Arabidopsis thaliana: one gene and its partner. The protein of the gene in region 1 purifies or fractionates together with the protein of each later gene. This does not show direct contact. Each region holds a gene or a part of one and is shown on either strand. Other genes may lie near its edges.

Region 1 (11,304 bases):
TATTCGCCGGAAGTAAGTAACCAAAAACGCTTCTAATCTTTCGTTTACAACAAATATCTCTCTCTCTCTCGCTCTCTCTCGCTCTCTCTTTCTTCTTCTTCATCTTCTTTCATGGCTGTTACTGGCTGGGCAATCACAATCTGAATTCTTTCTTCCTCCTTGTCTCTCTGATTTTCGCCGAGTTTTGGGGGCTCTTGTTGTTACACGATGAGTCTGGTGGTTGGTCAGTCTCTGGGTTTAACTCTAGTCGGTGATGGTCTTTCGTTACGCAATTCCAAAATAAATGTCGGAAAATCAAAGTTTTTCTCGGTAAATCGGAGGAGATTGGCGCGTGCGGCCCTGGTACAAGCTAGGCCTAAGGAAGACGGAGCGGCGGCAAGTCCTTCCCCATCGTCGAGACCGGCGTCAGTTGTGCAGTACCGACGAGCTGATCTCGCGGATGATCTTCAAGCCGAGGCACGAGCTTTGGGTCGTGCTATTGATGCTTCTATTTACTCTCCGGAGCTCATCGCCAGGAAACATGGCTCTCAGCCTTTCAAGGTTAGCTACTTGGTCACTTTTTGGAGTTTCAAGTTTTGTAAGTTACTGAGAGATGCAGCTCAATTTGGGACTTAGGCTTTGCGGAGAAGTTTGGAGATATTGGGAGCTTTGGGTGGTTTCGCTTTGAAATTGGGGATTGACCAGAAGCAGGGCAACTTAGAGAAGAACATGAAGAAGAGAGCAATCGAGCTCCGGCGGATCTTCACTCGTCTCGGACCTACTTTTGTTAAATTGGGTCAAGGTTTGTCCACCCGACCCGACCTCTGTCCACCCGATTACCTTGAAGAACTTGCAGAGCTTCAGGTTCTCCTCTTTCCTCTCTCTGCTTTACGTATATGTAATTAAGAATCTTCTGTTTGAAAATAGGTAAAGAGAACATCTCTAACTTTCTCTATATTATGTGCTTGAGTGTCTAAGTAGGATGCTTTGCCAACCTTCCCTGATGCAGAGGCATTTGCTTGCATTGAGAGAGAGTTGGATTTGTCGCTAGAGACCATTTTCTCGTCTGTATCTCCTGAGCCAATCGCAGCAGCTAGTCTTGGCCAGGTTTACAAAGCTCAGCTGAGGTATTCAGGTCAGGTTGTTGCTGTCAAAGTTCAACGCCCTGGGATCGAAGAAGCCATTGGCCTTGATTTTTACCTTATTAGAGGAGTTGGGAAACTCATTAACAAGTATGTAGACTTCATCACTACCGATGTCCTTACCCTTATCGATGAGTTCGCCTGCAGAGTTTATCAGGAGCTAAACTATGTCCAGGAGGCCCAAAATGCCAGAAGGTTTAAAAAATTGTATGCAGATAAAGCAGATGTTCTTGTGCCTGATATATTCTGGGATTACACGAGCCGCAAGGTGCTAACAATGGAATGGGTTGAGGGAACTAAACTGAATGAGCAACTTGCCATTGAGAGTCAGGGATTGAAGGTTCTGGATCTCGTGAATACAGGAATCCAGTGTAGCCTAAGGCAACTCTTGGAGTATGGCTTTTTCCATGCTGACCCTCATCCTGGTAATCTCTTGGCAACACCTGATGGAAAACTTGCCTTTCTAGACTTTGGCATGATGAGTGAGACACCAGAGGAAGCTAGATTTGCTATCATAGGCCATGTTGTCCATTTAGTGAACCGAGATTATGAAGCCATGGCACGAGATTACTATGCTCTGAAGTTCTTGTCCCCTGATGTGGATGTTACTCCTATCATACCAGCTCTCAGAGACTTCTTTGACGATGCACTTAATTATACCGTGAGCGAGCTCAATTTCAAAACTTTGGTTGATGGTCTAGGTGCTGTCTTCTACCAGTATCCATTTAATGTCCCGCCCTACTATGCTTTGATTTTGAGGTCGCTTACTGTGCTTGAAGGTTTGGCACTCTACGCAGATCCTAATTTCAAAGTACTAGCTGCTTCATACCCATATTTTGCCAAAAGGCTTCTCACTGATCCAAACCCGTATCTAAGAGATGCCCTTATCGAGCTACTATTCAAAGACGGAAAATTTAGGTGGAATAGACTCGAGAACCTTCTACAACAGGGAAGTAAAGATAGAGACTTCTCAGCAAAGGATGCTCTACAACCAGTTTTGAAGCTTTTGCTGGATCCAAATGGCGAAGAACTTCGATTGTTAGTAATTAAAGAAGCTGTACGAGTCAGTGAAGCAATTGCGCTGGGCACTGTTGTTGATACATACAATTCCCTTCCTGAGTTTCTGAGATCTCTTGTCTTCAATGGAAATGGGAATGGCCCTCTTACAATGAGTACCGCGGAACTTCAAAGTACGCTTGAGCTTCGGGATCAGGTCTCCAGAATCTGGGGCCTTCTTCAATCTTCAGAAAGCTTTGATCCTGCTATTTTGCAACCAATACTACAGGTGACTTCATTGATCTTGTGCACTGAGACTGGTACATAACATAAAATTGATTGATGAGCTAAACTCTTATATTTTTAAAATCAGGTGTTACAACAACCAGAGGCACGAAGACTTGGAGGACGTGTTGCAGGCGGTGTAGGCCAACGTCTTGCAGCTCGGTTTCTGCAACAACTTCTTCGAGCCACAACACCATCTTCTGCACCATCCCCATAGGTCCTCTTTTCTTCTCAGTGAAATGGTAAATTGTATATTAAGGCGAGACACTCGCAAACCACAGAATTGTTTCATGTTACAGTAATATAGTATCATTCTTTCTCTTTGTATTGTACTAGTGAAAAAGGACCAAAGTATAACCAATGAGAAATACCTCCAAAAAATAGGCATTTAATTTGCAAAATTGTGGGATTTAACAGTTTGATACACAGTTGAGCAATGTACAGTCCAAAAACTCAAGTGCTCATCCTTTTTAATGCTGGAGGGAAGGGCTCTATGTAAGTTTCTCGTTTCTGATTCGCTGCTTCGAGCTCGAGCTTGTCCCTTTTATTGTTCATCAAGAGAAGCAAAAACAACGCAACTTGTTGAGCTCCTAGTTCTCTCTTAAAACCTTCATGCTAGAGAACCTACTTTCACTTGAAGACATAATCCAGAATCAACATGATTACTCCATTAGGAAAACAATGAAAAAGCAAATGCATACAAATTTACATTTATCCAGATAATACGAAAAACTGCTTCTACACCGCATCTTCAGTTACAATGACATCGAGCACAACAAAATCAGAGGAGATAGCAGCCAATGAATAAGAATTAAAATTGATAAATTTATGATCAGCATGCCATCGAAGGCTTATTTATGCTGTTGGACATTTTGTGGGCCTATAAGTATCTGAAAACTAAGCTTCTTCTAGCCCAATGGGCAGTATAAAGTCTGCCCAGATGTGACGCGCGTTGTTGTGCAGCTGTGAAATCTAAGTTTTTTACCCACTCTCACAATGAGCGCGTCGACGCCACCTCCCCGAAATCCCTGGACTATACGAAAATTGCTGTTTTCGCTAAAATAAATAAACTGGGGCGCGTGATGGGTATTTTCACTTTGAAGAAAAAGAAGTTAAGTCTTTCGGGCCTATTTTATGGAGCCCATGTCTGTTTTATCTGTGGTTAAATTTTTATGATAAAATAACAAGCCCATAAACAATTAACCTGGTTATTTCGTATACGCTATTTTTGTCACAATACGTTATTTTTCCGTATACAAAAACATTAAAAATTTATAAACATCAAATGAACCAATATATTGAGAATCATGACGCGCGACTTTTGTTTACAACTTTTTATTTGACAGTATTGAAATAATGTTACCAGAAAACTTTATTTAATCTTTAACTTCGACCCAAACCTATAGGTCTTTTTAAGAAAATATGAATCTATTTATTTGGTTATAACAATTTCGAGTTGTGAAATACAACAAAGCAAAAAAGTTTCTATTACTTTTGTTAAGAAAAAATTTCTAGTTAAATTGATTTTGAAACAATTAGAGATGTTTAATTCATATTCTAATCCGGAATCAAACAATGAAATCACCCCAAAGGAGGTGATTGCCAATGCTCCCCATCATAAGCAGCGCCTACAGAGCTAAAAGGCCAAGTGGCTAACCTTACAGAATGTGACTGAGATCAATTTTTCCACACAATAAAAAAATTGATGGTCACTTTATAAAAAAATGATTGCCATCTTGACCATTATGTCTCTGCATTGTCCAAGCCACTAGTTCTCTTTATTGAACCAAGTAGGAGCCATACCATATATAGACAAATGTCAACTTAGTTTACAATTCGTGGTTGATACGAAGGTAATACAGATTATGTACTTCTGAGGGTTTCTTACACGCAGTGGTATTCTTCTTTGCCTCACAGACACGAATCAATCGATAGAAGGAATAGAAAACAACCATTAAGCACAGAGGATAGGCTGAGAGAAAAGGATGAGCTTTCACAAGTTGCCACCACATTGGCATTACAGGTACTTAACCAGCAGCCAAATTACAAGAGCAAGACCAACGATTCCAAGCACAGACAAGAGCATAGACATGCATGAGCAACCACTTTTCATGCTCTTGTTCATCAAGGCAAGGCTCTTTTGAACACGCTGCAATCATCAAGAAACACAAACAGGCTACATCAAATCCAAGACGAGATGTGAATCACATTAAACTAAAAAATTATTGCTTTTTATGATAAAAAAAAAAAGCAACGACCGAGAGATTCTTAGACATAATAGACCAGTATATTGTTAAAATCACTTGCTTGCCTTCCTATTGTTCTTTAGCTTATCAATGGACCAGCTTAAGCTAGTGACTAATGAGACTAATTTGTTCGAAGCATATACTTACCCGTAAGCGAGAGTCAGTGATATCCACATCGTAATCTAAGTCATCCTGCATGGAAGAAAGTCCCATTTCGTTAGAATAAGAAATCAAAATCAACAAGAAAAGCAATGAACAACAGCGGAGACATACAATAAGCCTTGTCTGCAGGGTGAGCTCCTCGTTAACAGCGAGAGCAATGTGTTTGGTACTCATGACTGTTTCCTCCAACTTCTCAAGTCCCTCGTCTTGTTCTACTCATGGAAATAAAATACAATCAAAGAGAAATTAATACAGACGCCAAGATCATTACTATGGTCCTAGAACAGTGTTACATACCACATCTTACCTCTCATAACTTGCCGTTGAAATACAACAATTCCTTGGTTGTCCATGCCAGAGACTCTATTTATCGCATCATCCGGCTTTAAATCTGTTCCAAACAAGCTGTCTCTGTTTGCAAAGTTTGACATATTCAAAGCAGAGGCCACCTGATTTGTTTTTGATCTCAAATTCCCAACCATATCCTTGCGACGATTCATCTCTTTCTCCGAACTGTTTATCAGCAAATTGCATACACATAAACCATAATTACATAGTTCAAGACCAACATGAAACTTAGCGTTGTCTAACATGAGGAGTTTGAACAGGCAACCAGAATCAGAATGGCTTACACATGCTGCTTGCCAGGAACCTTGACAAGAAGGGATTGCAGACTGTCTAATCGAGTCCCCAAAATGGTGATCTTTCTTCGAATTGCAGAGGCACGACGTTGAGCATCAGGCCCGGTTAACCCGGAGGCATTCCTTTCAGACATCATGCCATTAATATCCTCAGAGAGTTTCAAAGCCTCATTGTACTCTCTCATCCATGGATCCGAAGAAGAGGCCATTGACCTGAAAACAAGTACCTAACTAATTAAAACACAGCAATACTTATCTTCTACATAAAGATCATGTAAAGAGAATCACAAGTAGCTCAAAGAAGTATTTGATCATGAAAAAAACTAGTAGCTTCAACAACGAAACTCTTGTGACCCAATGAAAATCTCGTACATGATGAACAAGAATCTTAACACAATTACCATAGACCGTGTAAAGAGCTTTTCACAAAAAGGCAACAAATTTAGAAGCTTTTAGTAGCGAGTCACAATGATATGAAAACAAAATGAAAATAGCAGTGAATAAAATCAATTTCAGATGGAAAAATTAGGTATCAGCATAGACACAAAATCTTCGGCCATCATCCGAAAATTCAGGTGGAAAAATAAAAACTTTACTGTTGCGTAGAAAAAAAAATGAGACGGCGGAAGCAGAAACTAGAGTCGAAAAGAATCAGCCACTGAGACCCAAAATCTGCGATACCCATTATTTATAAATTCATAATCAGGGAAAATCGGAAAGATTTCGCGCCAGGAAAAACACCCCAAATCAAAGAAGCGACGGAATTGACCTAAATTTACATGGTGAAAGGAATCGAAAAGCTTACCCTTTAGACTATATGCACCGCGATTTGTGATTGTGGCGGGTCTTCTTCTACTTTGAAGATCGAAACGCGATCGTCGTGCTGACTTTGCAGGCACGAAAATAATGATTAGTCCAAAATCTGTAACGCAACCAACAACAACGCCAACGAAGATTTTAATTTATTTGAAGAATGAATTCAGATTTTATACCAGCTGTATCAAACGACTACGTTTTCCTATCTTTGTTGACGGCTCGTTGAAGATGCCTGGATTTAATACTGATTATATAAAGTTAGGGTTGAGATGACATAACAGAAATAAATTATGGGTTCAAAAGTATAAACACATAAACAATAATAATAGGTTTATTCATCTTTGGGCTTCCTAAATTAAATGGGTCGTCATAAAAAGGGTAATACTTTTAAGGCCCATTTAATATACTCATGAAACGACGCCGTGCACAAGATTGGTCTAGTTGGCATCTACCTACCTTTTTGGTATTCATCCTCAATATGCAATTTATCCATCAACAATGAACACTTGTAATTAATTTAAATGAAATCTCTTAGATTGTTTGGCTAATATAAATTTTCATAAAATGTTTTATATAATAAATACCCGAAAAATGGTAGTATTTAATTTCCCTCCTTGTTATAAAATAGCCAGGTGATTCAGTAATTCACCTGAACCAAACGGTGTACAACACATATATATATATTGTATACTAAAGGTAATTGCGTATCACTTTGAATTTTATACGTACACTTAATTAGCCATAATGGGGATTCTAAAATAAGATTATAAGTTTCAGAACATGTTGGTATCTCTATATGATTAAACGCTCATTAATAAGGGGTTTAATGCATGACGTCTTCGTGAAGGCAACGGCACATCTCAATAAGATAATATTGGGCCAACAGAAACTTGTAAGTTTCATAAATTGTTTTACGAAGAGATTATTTACCGTGAGAATCCAATGTTTTTATGTGTTTCGTGTATCTTACATGGAATTTAGGAAATTAAAAGTTACCATTCATATCATATTCGTTTTTATCTTTAATAGTTTTATGTAATTCGTTTGGGGAAAAAAGTGAGAAGAAGATAAATTTTGAGGCGAATCTCAAGAAGAGAGAGTGAAGTCAAACGAGGGACCTTGAATTGTGGATTTGGTGTTGGACCATCACGTGCTCTCCTCCACGGCCTTTCAGGATTTTGCTTCTTCTACCGCACGTGCCACACTCCTCCTCCTACGTACCGGTTTCCATTATTGCTTTTTTCTTCTTTGCATTCCAATTCTTCTTCTTATTCTTTTTGTCAAAGGCTCTAAAGTCTCTATATCTATTTGTTCGTTTAGTGAACTTTTTTATTTATATCAAATGGATTATTTCATAAACTTGTAAGAGTTATATTTCAGGAAATCATATCCACAGTTTTGAAGATCGATCCCCCATGCCTTTTTATATATACAAATTCAGTTATGATTGTTTGACGCAACTGCAGATAAATCATGTGTATACACATTATAGGGAAACATTAATAGTAATCCTGCTATTTGCAGAACCTTAAGAACGTCTGTGAACTGAACGTACGTTATTATGTATTAATATTTCAACTTTAAAGTTTAAACTAAAAAAAAATTAGCAGAAGAAAATTACATGAAAATTGTCTTACAAAATGTTAAGAAAAAAAAACGCTAGTGGAAATGCGCCAATATTACTTGCACGTTCAATCATATAGTATAATTAGCTGTTCATTTAAATCCCATAGTTTCTCTAACGTTTTTTTTTTTTTTGATGAACACTCTAACGTTATTCATATAACTAATATGGTAAGTAAGGAGCAAATATGGAACTTTAAGGATTAAGATCATTTGTAGAAAATCTTATTTCTAAATTTCCAACGAAACTGCACTGAAATTGATGCATTAAAAAAGTAAGTGGGAGCATAATTCAAGGTACGATACATCATTTTTCTTCCCAACATTTGACTGCAATTTTGAGGGCATAGAAGCTTCAATTCCTGTTTTGTTTTGTCCTTGGGATACATAAACCAGATCTTGTATTATATTATATTTACCATGTACTATATAGTATTCGAAGTTCATTCTCATTAATCGATTCCTACTTGTTTTCAAAGCAAATTAGTCAGCCTTACTATATAACAGCTGTAATCCATAGTGATTACTGATTAGTATAGTTAATCCTCATAATCATACTTACGTCACAGTAGAAAATAATAATATTGTAGCTATCTAATACGTAATATATACACAATTCTCTTCTTCTTTTTTTTTGTCAAAGATAGTATACACAATTCTTTAGATGTATATCTAGGTATTTATACTCGATGATTTGTACAAATATGTAAATCGAAGAACTTGATATTAATTAGAAACAAAAAACGAAACATAGTGTCGAAGAAAAAGATTATTTTCGGCACAACATCATGCACAATCTTCATTCGCTATAGACCTTCTAAGCCCTAGCTAGGCACAACATTGGACATGGAACGGTGAATCTTCAAAATTATTTGCAGATCACCATGTAAGAGAGATACATATATATAGTCTAGATAGGAATGATCTGATCATCTTAGCTGATGTTTATACCAATATGAATAGGTTTATATATGTGGCAAGAAAAATTATTTAATGGAAACTGCCTATACATATTAAAGTATTTCTCATATATTTCTGTGACCAGCTTTGGTTTATTAAATTTAATACAAAATAATAGTGGCACTGATCCATAGAAGCCAAGCTTCTCTATCTTTCTCTTTCCACACTTTCTTTCTATCTCAAAGAAGAAGAAAGAGAGAGAGAGAGAGATAGAAACCCTAAACATCGTGCCCTTGAAGCTAAGATATCTTCAGCTTTGTAGAAATTCATTTTGCTTACTTCATTGCGCTCTCTCTCTTTCATTGTCTTCTACCTCTTGCCTCTAACAGAAGCAATACTTTCCGGCCTCCAAGGTTCGTTTCTTTCCTCATCCATCTTATATCTTTCATTGTCGTCATCATCATCTGCATCTACATATATATACACACACGCACTCCCTCACACTTCCTCATATATATCATGTGTACTTTTCGTCTTAAACATCTCTCTATTTTCATTTCTTTTCTTTGATTACTTAAGAACATGACTAAGTCTCTATCATTAAACCTCTCTTGTTTAAGAAGCAGACAAAGATCGTTCAGTTTGCAGCACCTTCATGTTTCTCTTGGACATTCAGGTTTTACTTATGTGGGTATATGTAATAGAAGATTCATCTTTTGTTTTAAAATTAAAGGTTAATAAGTTGGAGCCTTTGTTCTTCGTGACTATATGCATGCATTTGGTAAACCTAGGGTTTTGATTTTTAGATCTAATATAACCCAAACCCCAATTAACACCTTGAGATTATTGGATACATACTTGCATGGTCAAACCCATTCATTTCTCAATTTGTTAAAACTTAAAACCTTCAATATAATGTGTGTTTCTTTCTTTGGGGTTAATTAATATTTCATTAGGGCAAAGGTCGAAAAGAAAGCGTCAAAGTTTGCTTAAAGAAGAGTAAGGATAATGGAGATAGGGTCGTCATCCACGGTGGCTGGCGGAGGACAGCTTTCGGTGCCTCCGGGATTCCGGTTTCATCCAACGGAGGAGGAGCTTCTTTACTATTACCTCAAGAAGAAGGTTTCTTATGAACCAATTGATTTAGATGTAATTAGAGAAGTTGATCTCAACAAGCTGGAACCTTGGGAACTTAAAGGTAAAATTTATAATCCCCTTATAGTTAACTCTTCTTTAACTATAATTACCATCACCTAATCCACACATTTAATGAATGACTATTAATTATTTCTTGATCAGTATATTAGTATATAGACTATCACAATCAACGTCATATAGATTTTAATTATATATAGAGCGAGTGCTGTAAGATTAGATAAAATCTGGGGAATTATGTCGTTGGCCTGCACAAGATTACAAGTTAGATGTCAAAGGACAATTATATACATAGATTGTGGTAATATTGTCTAGGGAGTTTGTCTGTGATCTCTATGGAAACATGCATCTACTTGTGTCTTTTTAAGTTTGAACAGTTCTTCTCATATATGCTGATAAATTATTTTCCAGTTTTTATGGAAACATGAAACCTTATACGTGTGTGTGCGCGTTATACACCAAGAAAGAGACAAGTTGTCTATTCACTTATGTACAGAAGACCAAAGTGTAATGTCTTGTAGTATATGACTACGAATGTATATTTTGTAATATTATTTTGTACTACCCTCAAAATAAGTCAATGGTTTTTCACAATGAAGACATATAACAACCCATCGCCGTAAGCCGTAAATATATTTATTTGAAATGTGTGTTTAAATATATATATATATATACTTAAGACTATAATTAACAATTGTATTTTTTCAATTATATTTATAACAAATTTTGTTGTTGTGTGTATGTAGAGAAATGCAGAATCGGGTCGGGTCCTCAAAACGAGTGGTATTTCTTTAGCCACAAGGACAAGAAATATCCGACTGGGACCCGAACGAACCGGGCGACAGCAGCCGGGTTCTGGAAAGCTACTGGTAGAGACAAATCCATACATCTCAACAGCTCCAAGAAGATTGGACTTCGTAAGACTCTTGTCTTCTACACTGGTCGTGCTCCTCATGGCCAAAAAACCGAATGGATCATGCACGAATATCGCTTGGACGATAGCGAAAACGAAATTCAGGTACAACATATCACAATTAATGTTTAACTCTCGAAATCTCTAATCATAATGCTTAAAGTGGATTTATCATTAATGTGTAATTTGCAGGAAGATGGGTGGGTTGTATGCAGAGTGTTCAAGAAGAAGAATCATTTCAGAGGATTTCACCAAGAACAAGAGCAAGATCATCATCATCATCACCAATACATAAGCACCAACAATGATCATGATCACCATCATCACATTGACTCCAATTCAAACAATCATTCTCCTTTGATCCTACATCCTCTGGATCATCATCACCACCATCATCACATTGGACGACAAATCCACATGCCATTACATGAGTTTGCAAACACTCT
Region 2 (11,506 bases), on another chromosome or scaffold:
CCACCAACAAGTAGAAGCAGATTAGCAGGCAGGCTTTTGCTCTGTATAGACAAGCAGAATAACAAGTTGATTTCACTATTAGCCACCAAGGAGATGTAATTGCTAAGAATCTATTTAGCATTTTTGCATGGCTATTTATCCAACCTGGAGAAAAGAGTGTGCATTAAGCTCGTTTGCTGCCATCATGTCAGCCTCAACTCCACCAGCACGCTGTCCGGGGTAGACCTTTACAGAGACAAGTATGTGAGGGAAAGAATGAATGCAAAGCAATAAAATATCCAAATGAAGTTTTGATGATTCTAATAATGTAAGGAGGACTCGCACAGCTGAACAAAATATGCCCAGATAATGTAGAGAGACTCATGAAAAATGGAAACTGCCTTCAGGAAAAGAACAATATTGGCTGAGAAGAAGAAACAAGATTGACAAAACATGCAGAATCACCTTAAAGACGACAGGCGTTCCTCGAAATGGACCCTGAGATATTCGTCCTTGATATAGTCTGCATACAAACTGCTGTGGCTAATACATTTTTAACTTGACCAAATATATTACCATCTAATAAATTGTCTACACAAAGCCAAAAGTGCACCTGATCTTAACGGCACCTTCTCCAATATCTTGAGATTTTAATCGCCCAATATCATCAGACGTATATTCAAAGTCAGATCCTGACTGCAGCCCTGTATAACTAGGAGTATAGAAGTGGTGAAAAGCTAAGTAAACGAAGTAGAACACAGCGGCAGATAAAAGAGTAAAACTAGACCAACAAACGTAGCATAATCTAGCTAAAGATGCACAATAATCATAAGAAAGGTCAATGTATCCCAATTCAAATACACTAACAAAAGTGATTTTTTTGTTAAACCCTTCGAATAATTGTCAAGCTCACGTATACATTGCAATGAGTGCATAAACCTGTTGCAACTACAGATTCACACATACACAAACAATTTCGATATAAAATTAGAGATTTCGTTACACGAAGACGTAGAAACAACACAGAAGCTCCAGATAAAGAGAGAAATCAAAAATCCAGTGAGAGTACCTAGTTACATTCATGAATCCGTAGCTTCCGATAAGCCGCCCTACCTCGAACGAGTCAGCACTGGTTATCAAACTCGCTGTCACCGCATGCAACCGCCGAATCGGCCGATTCCGTCCACGCGAATTTACAATCCGACAGCCGGAGAATCCATCGCCTGATTCTCTATGTTTCAAAGAGAAACGCGAAACGCATTCGAAGGAAACGCGATGAATAGCGACCAGATTCATCGCTTTTGTTTGTGTTTCGTCGCTTCACTTCAAATTACTTTCCAGGATTTAACGAGTGTCAGTGTCAGTATAAGAGAGAGAGAGATAAGAGCCAGGAAAGTTTTCTCTGTGTCTTACGTGGCTTTTAATATACATAATTAAATGATATAATCGTGCGTCGTATAGATAAATATCTGAGATAATCTTATTAAATTTTAACGGTGTATATTATGCCACGTATGAAACTCACCGAGAAAAACAGAAAAAGCTGCTATCGATGCTACGTGTACTTTTAAACCGAATTAATCCGAACCAAATCAAAATACACGAAATGAAACCGTTTAATTTAGGTGACAGTCAGAGTGTCTACCAAAACTAATCGTACAAAACCGAACTGAATTGAACCGAAATGGCCATGCCTGCTTTTCTTCAGCTTTAAGGGAAAAGATCAAAGATTGGGTCTTCAACACTTGAGAGAGTCTCTGTCTCTGTAAAAGATATTTGAGCTTGAGAAGAACAGAAGAAACTTCCAGGATCAATCAATCGATCAACTTTAGTGAACTAACTCTTGATTTTTCATTCGAAGTTATGGAATCGGTTCCCGAATCCGTACCATCGCCGAACTCGAATACACCGTCAATACCACCGCCGGTGAACTCCGTACCGCCTTTCTTGAGTAAAACCTACGACATGGTTGATGATCCGTTGACCAATGAGGTCGTTTCGTGGAGCAGCGGGAACAACAGCTTCGTCGTCTGGAGTGCCCCGGAGTTCTCGAAGGTGCTCTTGCCCAAGTATTTCAAGCACAACAACTTCTCCAGCTTCGTCAGACAGTTAAATACTTATGTAAGCATCATTTTTTGTGTTATTGTCAATTTATTTTTCTAGAAATTGATCGTTTTTTCGTGGTACAATTTGGGGAACATCGTGAAATGTTGAAGGGTTCTAGTCTTAGTGACTAGATCCATGGATGTGTTGGATTATTTTTAAAGCCATATCAATCTGTCTACTCATCAAAAGATTCCACAGAACTTTGCAGGCGCACTGTCACATATGTCTGAAGATTGTTTCCTCAATTGTTTTCTGCCTTGTAGCTCTAACAAAACAGAATGTCTATCAGTTGTCTGAACATTAGCTTTGTTTTCATTTGTATATTTCCGTCCAGGTACACTTTTTTGATAAACTAAGAACTATTACTTTCCTTATAACATGGTGATTTTGTGCTACACCCAAGCATAGTGTGGAGAATTTGTTTACTTCTCAAACTTTGCTATAACTAGAACATATAACTAATCTGGTCTGTTTTCTAGTCTACCTGTTTAATGTTTATACATTTTTGTACAATTGCGCTATGTTGGCTTTTCTTCTTCCCCTAAATTCAAGCAACATCGTTTCAGTTCTTCAATTTGAATTTCGATATTTATGATAGCCTCTCTGTATTCTGATGTCCAGGGTTTCAGAAAAGTTGATCCTGACCGATGGGAATTTGCAAATGAAGGATTTCTTAGAGGCCGAAAACAACTACTGAAGAGTATTGTCAGGAGAAAACCTTCGCATGTGCAGCAGAATCAGCAACAAACTCAAGTTCAGAGCTCATCTGTTGGTGCTTGTGTCGAGGTGGGGAAGTTTGGAATAGAAGAAGAAGTGGAAAGACTTAAGCGGGATAAGAATGTTCTTATGCAAGAACTCGTCAGGTTAAGGCAGCAACAGCAAGCTACTGAAAACCAACTGCAGAATGTGGGACAGAAAGTTCAGGTGATGGAGCAAAGGCAACAACAAATGATGTCGTTTTTAGCAAAGGCTGTTCAAAGTCCAGGTTTCTTAAACCAGTTAGTACAACAGAATAATAATGATGGCAACAGACAAATTCCAGGAAGCAACAAAAAGAGGAGACTTCCTGTAGATGAGCAGGAGAATCGTGGTGACAATGTGGCTAATGGTCTTAACCGCCAGATTGTTAGATATCAGCCGTCGATAAACGAAGCAGCACAAAATATGCTTCGACAGTTCTTAAATACTAGTACCTCACCTCGGTATGAATCAGTTTCAAACAATCCTGACAGTTTCCTATTGGGTGATGTTCCCAGTTCTACCTCTGTAGACAATGGGAACCCTTCAAGTAGAGTTTCTGGAGTAACATTGGCCGAGTTTTCACCCAACACAGTTCAGTCAGCAACGAATCAAGTACCCGAAGCAAGTTTGGCTCATCATCCTCAAGCTGGTCTGGTTCAGCCAAATATAGGTCAAAGTCCGGCTCAAGGAGCAGCACCTGCAGACTCTTGGAGCCCTGAATTTGATTTAGTTGGATGCGAGACAGATAGTGGAGAGTGTTTTGATCCAATAATGGCTGTTTTAGATGAGTCAGAAGGCGATGCAATTTCTCCTGAAGGTGAGGGCAAGATGAATGAGTTACTGGAGGGAGTCCCTAAGCTGCCCGGAATCCAAGATCCATTCTGGGAACAGTTCTTTTCTGTTGAACTCCCAGCGATTGCAGATACAGACGATATTCTATCAGGATCAGTGGAGAATAATGACTTGGTATTGGAACAAGAACCAAACGAGTGGACCCGTAATGAACAACAAATGAAGTATCTTACTGAACAAATGGGACTGCTTTCCTCAGAAGCACAGAGGAAATAAAGGTAAGAACATCGTTAAGTTCAAACATGTTTCTCTGCATTGTTGTATATCTTGAGAGTTATCAATTGTCTCTCACAATGTAGATTTTCAGGGGAGGTTGCAAAAGGAGATATGAAGGAACGAGGAATATATCAGATGGTGTGTATACCCTTTACATTTTTACTTAAATGAAAAAAAAACAGAGAGAAGAAACATAAAAGATTTACCACCAAGCTTGTGAATAGTTAGTAGAGATCGGTTTTTGTGTTGTTTATATTATACTTTTGTGTGAAAACGTTCATCTTGTTCAATTATCATCTCACTAGTACGGTAATCTGTTGGTCACTGACCGGTTAATGACCAAAAAATCAAGATTATTTTCTTATGTTTATTTCTTTTGATCATGAAGATCCTTATGATGGAGTAATACATTGATTAAACATTCACACGATGAGAAGTTAAGATCAATTTGGTTGAATGGGGAAGATGGAGTATAAAGAATCTGTACATTAGATATATATCTTTAATGGGTCTTTGTATAGTTTCCATAGATTCGCTTGATGCTTGAAGATTGAAGCTTGGAGTTATATGTTTGATGCTTAGACCAAGACAACGATGATGACAATGAGTAGAACAATCCCAAAAATGAGAATAAGTAGGCATGTCTGCAACAAAGTAAAAGACAACAAACTTAGCTTAAGCTGCTAAGAATATGAAATCACAGAACTGAAAATGAGAAGAGAGTCTGTTTAGTCCGTACCAAAGAGGAGTTTGATCTTTGAGTTTTAGCTGCTTTTCTGAGTTGAACAGTGGCTTGTGTAGTTGCAGCATGTGAGTTGTCAAGGTTAGAGCTGATGTCATCTGCCAGTGCACATTATAGTTTTTTTCTGAGACTTTAAAAAGGCAAAGAGAAAACGAACAGGGAGATTTACAATTTCTGATTGTTTGGAGTTACTTACCGACAATATTTCCTTGATGGTTCACCATAAGAGCTAGATCTTTGAACATGCCATTCACATCACGAATCTGGTCTTCAATTTCTCGAATCCCTTGCTCTCTTTCCTCAATAATTGCTTCATTGAATGTTATCTCGTTATCTAAAAACACCACTTCTTGCCTGGAATGAGAATATAAAAAGTTAGCGAATAGCAAGCATCTCCCTGCATCCAGGGACATAACCAACTTCGAAAAATTTATTAACCTATTCTAAGGCTTCTATTAACAATTCAGGCTACAGTGAGTGCCAAGTGTAACGATGGTTTGAATTTGAACTCTCGAGAGCAAAATGCATGCTAGACTAACATTTGGTTTATGCTTATAATTGATCAAATGAATTAGTAAAATAACATGCTAGCATATAATCAAATCACACTCCTCACCTTCTTGATTGTAGAAGAAGAGCTTGCTGCTGGGAGATCCTTAAAGATTCAGTATCCAGTTCAGGTGCATTATAACTGCATGGTGTGGCATGACAATGAAGCATGTGTAAGTGAAACTCACATTCCACAAAATATCAGAACAATCCTACGTTCAAAAATTCTTTTGTACAAAACAACAATAATAACATGCGAGTATATAATCCGGAGACTTTTTTTCTTCTCATTTAGGAAACAACGAGATTCATTTACCATGATCTTCTGTTTTTTAACAGGTATTGAAACATAACTGGTCAAAGTGGTTACCTGGTAGGTATTTCTTTTGTGACCACAGGAGTATATGTTATTTCTCTTTCAGCTGCAAGTCTCTGAGCTTTCTGAAACTCTTTGAGAACTGATTGGAAATCTTTTGCCAGTTTAGCATCAGCTATCTTCTTAATTTGCTGCAAGAATACAAACATAACATCAAAACTAGAATACACATATCATCAATCATGTAAACAATTCTCCCACTAAATGAATAAAATGGTACGATTCTGACAAAATTAAACCAAAATAAAACTGGTTCAATAGAAAATGTTCTCTTAGACACTAACATTCCATAGCATCGTAAGGGAATGAAACAAAAAAGTAAGCATTTGCTTACACTAGCTGATCCATGAAGGTCGGCTTCGCTAGCTTCCTTAAGTTTAGCTGAAGTATTCTTCACCAATTCGGATATCTGTAACCTTGTCTTTTGCCTGCCAACAAAAGAACCTAACACTTTAAAACAATTCACAGAACAAATAGATGAAACCAATCTAAAAAAAAAACAATTTCTCAATACACACACACACACACACACACACAAAAAGCTCATTATTTGCAATGTTGTCAGGCATTATTTGCAATGTTGTCTCACATCGATCAGCAAACTCAAATTTGTTCTTCGGTTAAGGGAAAATAATGCAGGATTAGCTTCAAAACAATTAGAAAACTTTTTCAATTAAAAATTGAAATGAAATCGACCAAAATCAATAAGTAAAACCAAAACCCTAATCAACAGAGATTTAACAAAGAGAAGAAGAGTGTGATTAAGAATTGCTACTGACAGCTTATCTCGTAATTCAAGAGTATCTTTAGGTGTTCCGATCGAATTAACGAGGCGGAAGAAGGAATTGACAGCCGTGCTGATCCTGAAAATCCCGGCGGCGACCTCCTGAGATGGATCCCCACGAGACGAAGGTCTCTGTTGTCTCCCACCGGTAAAACGATTCGGCGCCGGAGATCGAGTACCAGCTTCGAGATCTTGGAAACTCATCGTCTCTTCTCTCGAATCTCTCGAAATTCTCTTATCTCTATCTCAGGGGAACAAACGAAGACGAAGATGATGGAAATGAGTTAGGTGAATTATAAGTTTTCCCAAAATTTAATGTTAATTTTTGTTTTATAATTTGTATAAATCATTTAATCTCATGTGGTCCGCGTGAATATGGTGGTGGAGGGAATTTATTAATACGTATAAATTATTTGGCGGTGACACGCCATTGCGAGGGAAGAATCCTGCGTGTCGTTGTTGACCTCACCTGCCCTTCCGTGTAAAATTGAAACTCGGTTCGAGTAAACCGGACCAATTGAGTGGGTTTGCAGGATAAGGATTGGTTAAATGATTTTGGGCTACATTGGAGTTTAGTAAAAGGAAAAGAGAAGAGTTGGGCCAAAAACAAGGAGAAGTCCAACTTTTTTGTAATTACCAAGTTATCATATTTTATGACTGAATTAATAATTACAGTAATCACTTTGATACATAAACCACTTTTTATAGAAAAACAATGATATATTTTTGTTGATAAAAAGTAAAATTTTTATGTATTTTTTTCTAATAAAACATAAACTTAATAATTGTGTTACGAAACTCCTAACTTTTGTTTTGAACTGAAGAGGGAAAAAATAGAAATATATACTAAAAAAGTGAAAATATTAATTGTTGGAAACAATTAGGGACTAAAATAGGATTAAAGGGCGTAACGCAAACCCACACGTTGAGTGTGAGGTGTCATATAAAGCAAAATACACTCTTCCCTCTCTATCTATCTACGCATCATCGATCTCGAAGTACGTTTCGGTTTTCAGGCCAATCTCTGAATCTGCGTGACAAAAGCAACAAATTACATATCTCTCTCTCTGCGCGACTTCGAAGATCAACATCCATGGCGGTATGCTCTACTTTTTTTTTGTGTATAATTTTGTTTTATGCGGAAAAGGTTTAGGTTTCCTCTGCTGGTAGATATTGTTGCGATCCATTTGTTTATCGGGAAATTTTCTCAGGATTGATATTTTTGGCTATTGATTTGATTTCTTCTTCAATTTGGATGATCTGTTGTTTGATTGCTGCACTTGCCGACATAATATCTCCAATGCTATTTGGACGAGTTTGATGATTATTATTGTCGTTATTAATTGATTCTGTATCTCTGTGTGATCTGTATTCGTGCAATTATCTCTATTATCTCCTTGATTTCTCGGTTTTGGTTTTCGTTTATCGTAGTAAATCGCGATTGTGTTATTCTCAATTTGGAACCGAATCTCGCTAGCCAATTTACTTTTAGATTCCTCCATACATTGTCGATTAGTTTCCTTAATTGGTAGCCTTCATGGTTCATTCGAGTTTTCTTTTTGTATAGTGAGATGATGACAGTCATCTTCTAAGCCACTATAATATTATCCCTTTACTTGCATAATTGTATAATCTTGTGATAAATCTAGGCTTCTTTGAGTTTGAGCTGATTTGATTAAAATGGGACTTTCGGTCGATTAGATATGCTTGGATACAAAAAGTAGTTGTACTGTAAACATTCTCATGAAACACCTGTTTATTGTTTTCGTTAATGATTCTTTCCCTTTTGATTCTTTATGATGACAGTCACAGGTAAGGTCAGTAAAAGTTGGCAATCTCTCTTCAGGAGCAACTGAGCATGATATTAAAGAGTTTTTCTCTTTCTCTGGTGAAGTTGAAAGCATCGATATCCAAAGGTTAGTGATATTGTTTCCTTGTTCTTTGATTTCAAAATTTTGACATTTAAAGCTTTTTTTGATCAATTAACTTCCGAAGCTTTTTCTCAGCAAATTTAGATACAGTTCTCTTAAACTTACTGACTCTGAGCTTTGTTTTTGTTTTCTTTTTCTAACTAGCAGTAACGAGCATAGTGCTTATGTCACATTTAAAGAAACTCAAGGAGCAGAGACTGCTGTGCTCTTATCTGTGGGTTCACTCTTATCTCAATATTATTGTAGTAGCATTCAACTCTTACATAACACTGTTAATTTAGTAATCAATCCATGTCTATAAACCTTCGTTTAATATGGTTATACTTCTCTAGTCCAGACAAAGTATCTCTGAGTATTTATAAGTAAAATTAGTTTGCTTACAACTAATATTTGGGACCATTTGCAATTTGCATTACTAACAAGGGGTGTTATTTCAGGGAGCGAGTATTGCCGATCAATCAGTCATCATTGAGTTGGCTCCCAACTACAGTCCACCAGCAGCCCCTCATGCTGTAATGTCTTCTTCATACTGTTTTTCTTCTTTTTGATTAGTGAAAAGTATTCATCTCAACACTCAATAGAGCAGTAATTTCGTAGAGGTGTTAATTTGTGTTAATTTTCTCAGGAAACACAGAGCAGCGGTGCAGAATCTGTTGTCCAGAAGGCAGAAGATGTTGTGAGCAGCATGTTAGCAAAGGGTTTCATTCTTGGGAAAGATGCTGTCGGCAAAGCAAAAGCTTTTGATGAGAAACATGGTTTCACCTCAACCGCCACCGCAGGAGTTGCTTCACTAGACCAAAAAATCGGTCTTAGCCAGAAACTTACAGCTGGAACAAGCTTGGTGAACGAAAAAATCAAGGCGGTGGACCAAAACTTTCAGGTAACAGAGAGGACCAAGTCTGTGTATGCAGCTGCGGAGCAGACTGTGAGCAGTGCAGGAAGCGCTGTGATGAAGAACCGTTACGTGTTAACTGGTGTGAGCTGGGCCGCAGGAGCATTCAATAGAGTGGCTCAAGCAGCTGGAGAGGTTGGACAGAAAACAAAAGAGAAGGTTGAAGCTGAGCAACCATCGCAACCAGCACAGTCGCAGCAGCAACTGCCAGAAGGGTATTCTCCGATTCATTCGTCCGAATACTCGAAGAACTAATATCATCAAGTTAAACAGTTTCCTTTGTTTCTCCTTGTTGGTTTCTTTGACATGGAAGTTGGAAATCTGGTTTGGTCTTTGGGATGTACCATATAAGCTATGCCTGGATTTTCCCTACCACTATTAGACTATAGTTTGGGTTTTTTCCAATATACATATTTAATAAGTTGACATTTAAATCTTTCTTTACCCTAAATGTTACAAATCCATTTTGTTCCTAGATTATCAAAATGACTGAAATAGAAATTTAAAGGATCTACCTAAGTTTCGATGATAAAATCTAGTTAAGATCAGTTTCAATAATTCAACTTCCACAGCGAAGAAGAGTTTGACCGGTCTGTTGCATACCTCAATTCCGACGATAGCTGCTGAGAAAGAGAGTGTTTAGAAAGTGCAGATTTTAAATAGATCAAGAGCATTCGATATCTCGAGTTTTTCTTCTTCAGAACTTGAATATAAGCGTCTAAGCCAAGCCATATCACTTCTTCTTTGTATAGTTTAAGAACTGGTCTGAAACTAGAACCAGTGTTGATTCTGCGCACCCTTCTATTTATGAGTCTGAACATGTACCTATCAGTTGGAAAGAAATCAAGAACCGAATAAGCAAAAAAAGACCGAATAACTCAAATCAGAATGATCCAAAAACCGAAATGCTCACAGACATATGATGTAGTTTTGATTCCATACCTGACAGATATTGTGATGAATTTGAACAAAGTTTGAGGATGAAGCTTCCAAAACCGGGACACCTCGTAGACATAACAGTGAAACTTCATTGCAGCCAACAGAAAGATCTGATAGATGTTTAACCTGACGATTTCTCCCGAGTTGATGTTCGAGTCAAATAGAATTGGATGACATTTCGGAACCAAGAAGTAACACAATTTTTGCCGAAGATTTCTAACTGGTTTGTTCTGCCAAGCTACAGAAAAAGTTGAGCTTATATGGCCACTCAAGTACCTGTTTCCATGAATTTGAGGCAAAATTATAAATAAAAGCTGAGGAAACAGAGCCAAACAAGTATACTTATGAAGGAAACATACAGGAGATGAGGCAGACCTTGTGTAGTCAACTTGAACTTCAAATGTGCGGGAATTAATAAGCAAACCCGTCCATCTGACAAAAGGAACTCCATTATCTCCCACAAACATTCTATTAGAAGAACACCTATGTTCTTCTTTATCTTCAAAATTTATGCAGAATTTTGTTTCGTTCATGAAGCAGTTGTAATCTTTAAATCCATGCTTCAACCTGTGATAGAAGCTACTCGCCTGATCTCTTGAGGTAGACACAAAAAGGTAGTCATCAATAAATCTCAGTAACTTATAGCTCGTGGGAATTATAAGCTCTTCCTCTCTACTGCATTCTTTAGAAGACACATCTTTAGAGGCTTCTTCGAGGAATGGGTAGATCAAAGTCCTCTCGAGATGCCCGTAGTAAAAACAACATAACAAGGATGATAATCTGTGTCCCTGAGGTATTCCAGCTATTTGTACATAGAAGCTTTTATCCAACTGCAGCATGTTGTTCTTTAGCATATTTCCTATCCAAACCATTAGATCCTTTTTCCTCACTCGATGGTTTTCTCCCTAGAAGGTTGGACCAAAACCATAACACCGTTAAGCAAATAAGTAAAGAACAACAGGGACGCTACAAGCACTAAGAAAAGAGATCTCTAGAGATTTTTTTAAGTAGTCCAATAGTTTTGTATTTTACCCTCTGCAAAAAGATCAAAAAGCTCTAGGTCAAAAAGAAGCATACCTTATCAACCACGATACTTTGCAGTGCATTATATGGAACAGTTGATGTGAATCTTGAAAAGTTAGAATTTTTGTCACTCGAGACTAGTATTTTGTTTACCCAATTGGATCTCTTCCCACAGCAGACCAGCCTACATCTGTTTAAGATGTATTCATCTTTCAGAAAACTTTGAATGACATGAAGCAGCTTACCCTGGTCGACTGAATCAAATGCTTTGAATACATCCGCAACCACAAAGTACAAAGGAGGAAGTTCTCCAGATTGACTTCTTAAATGGATCAGATATGGGCATAGGTTTCTGTAGAAATCATCATGGTCAAAG

The links.
Region 2: the proteins of SYP52 (region 1) and SYP21 purify together in Arabidopsis thaliana (affinity purification with western blotting, with the first as the bait; one study listed by BioGRID). This does not show direct contact.

What each region holds. Positions count from the first base shown.
Region 1 is NC_003070.9:29,941,420-29,952,723, reverse strand, and holds SYP52 (syntaxin of plants 52), read right to left. Parts: upstream 6,251-11,304; 5' UTR 6,137-6,250; coding exon 6,048-6,136; intron 5,665-6,047; coding exon 5,443-5,664; intron 5,324-5,442; coding exon 5,118-5,323; intron 5,023-5,117; coding exon 4,922-5,022; intron 4,841-4,921; coding exon 4,796-4,840; intron 4,552-4,795; coding exon 4,420-4,551; 3' UTR 3,917-4,419; downstream 1-3,916. Other genes in the region: AT1G79600 (Protein kinase superfamily protein), read left to right, coding at 208-540, 616-843, 961-2,406, 2,491-2,619; SMB (NAC (No Apical Meristem) domain transcriptional regulator superfamily protein), read left to right, coding at 9,799-9,988, 10,692-10,963, 11,051-11,304. UniProt on the Arabidopsis thaliana protein: Vesicle trafficking protein that functions in the secretory pathway.
Region 2 is NC_003076.8:5,528,604-5,540,109, forward strand, and holds SYP21 (syntaxin of plants 21), read right to left. Parts: upstream 6,693-11,506; 5' UTR 6,550-6,692; coding exon 6,341-6,549; exon of another isoform or gene 5,990-6,340; coding exon 5,896-5,989; intron 5,693-5,895; coding exon 5,556-5,692; intron 5,328-5,555; coding exon 5,253-5,327; intron 4,991-5,252; coding exon 4,833-4,990; intron 4,735-4,832; coding exon 4,634-4,734; intron 4,539-4,633; coding exon 4,473-4,538; 3' UTR 4,243-4,472; downstream 1-4,242. Other genes in the region: AT5G16810 (Protein kinase superfamily protein), read right to left, coding at 1-41, 145-225, 445-502, 593-691, 1,049-1,275; HSF3 (heat shock factor 3), read left to right, coding at 1,843-2,100, 2,707-3,894; BPA1 (binding partner of acd11 1), read left to right, coding at 7,439-7,444, 8,152-8,261, 8,421-8,490, 8,714-8,788, 8,902-9,423; TERT (telomerase reverse transcriptase), read right to left, coding at 9,720-9,993, 10,111-10,383, 10,483-11,012, 11,185-11,506. UniProt on the Arabidopsis thaliana protein: May function in the docking or fusion of transport vesicles with the prevacuolar membrane.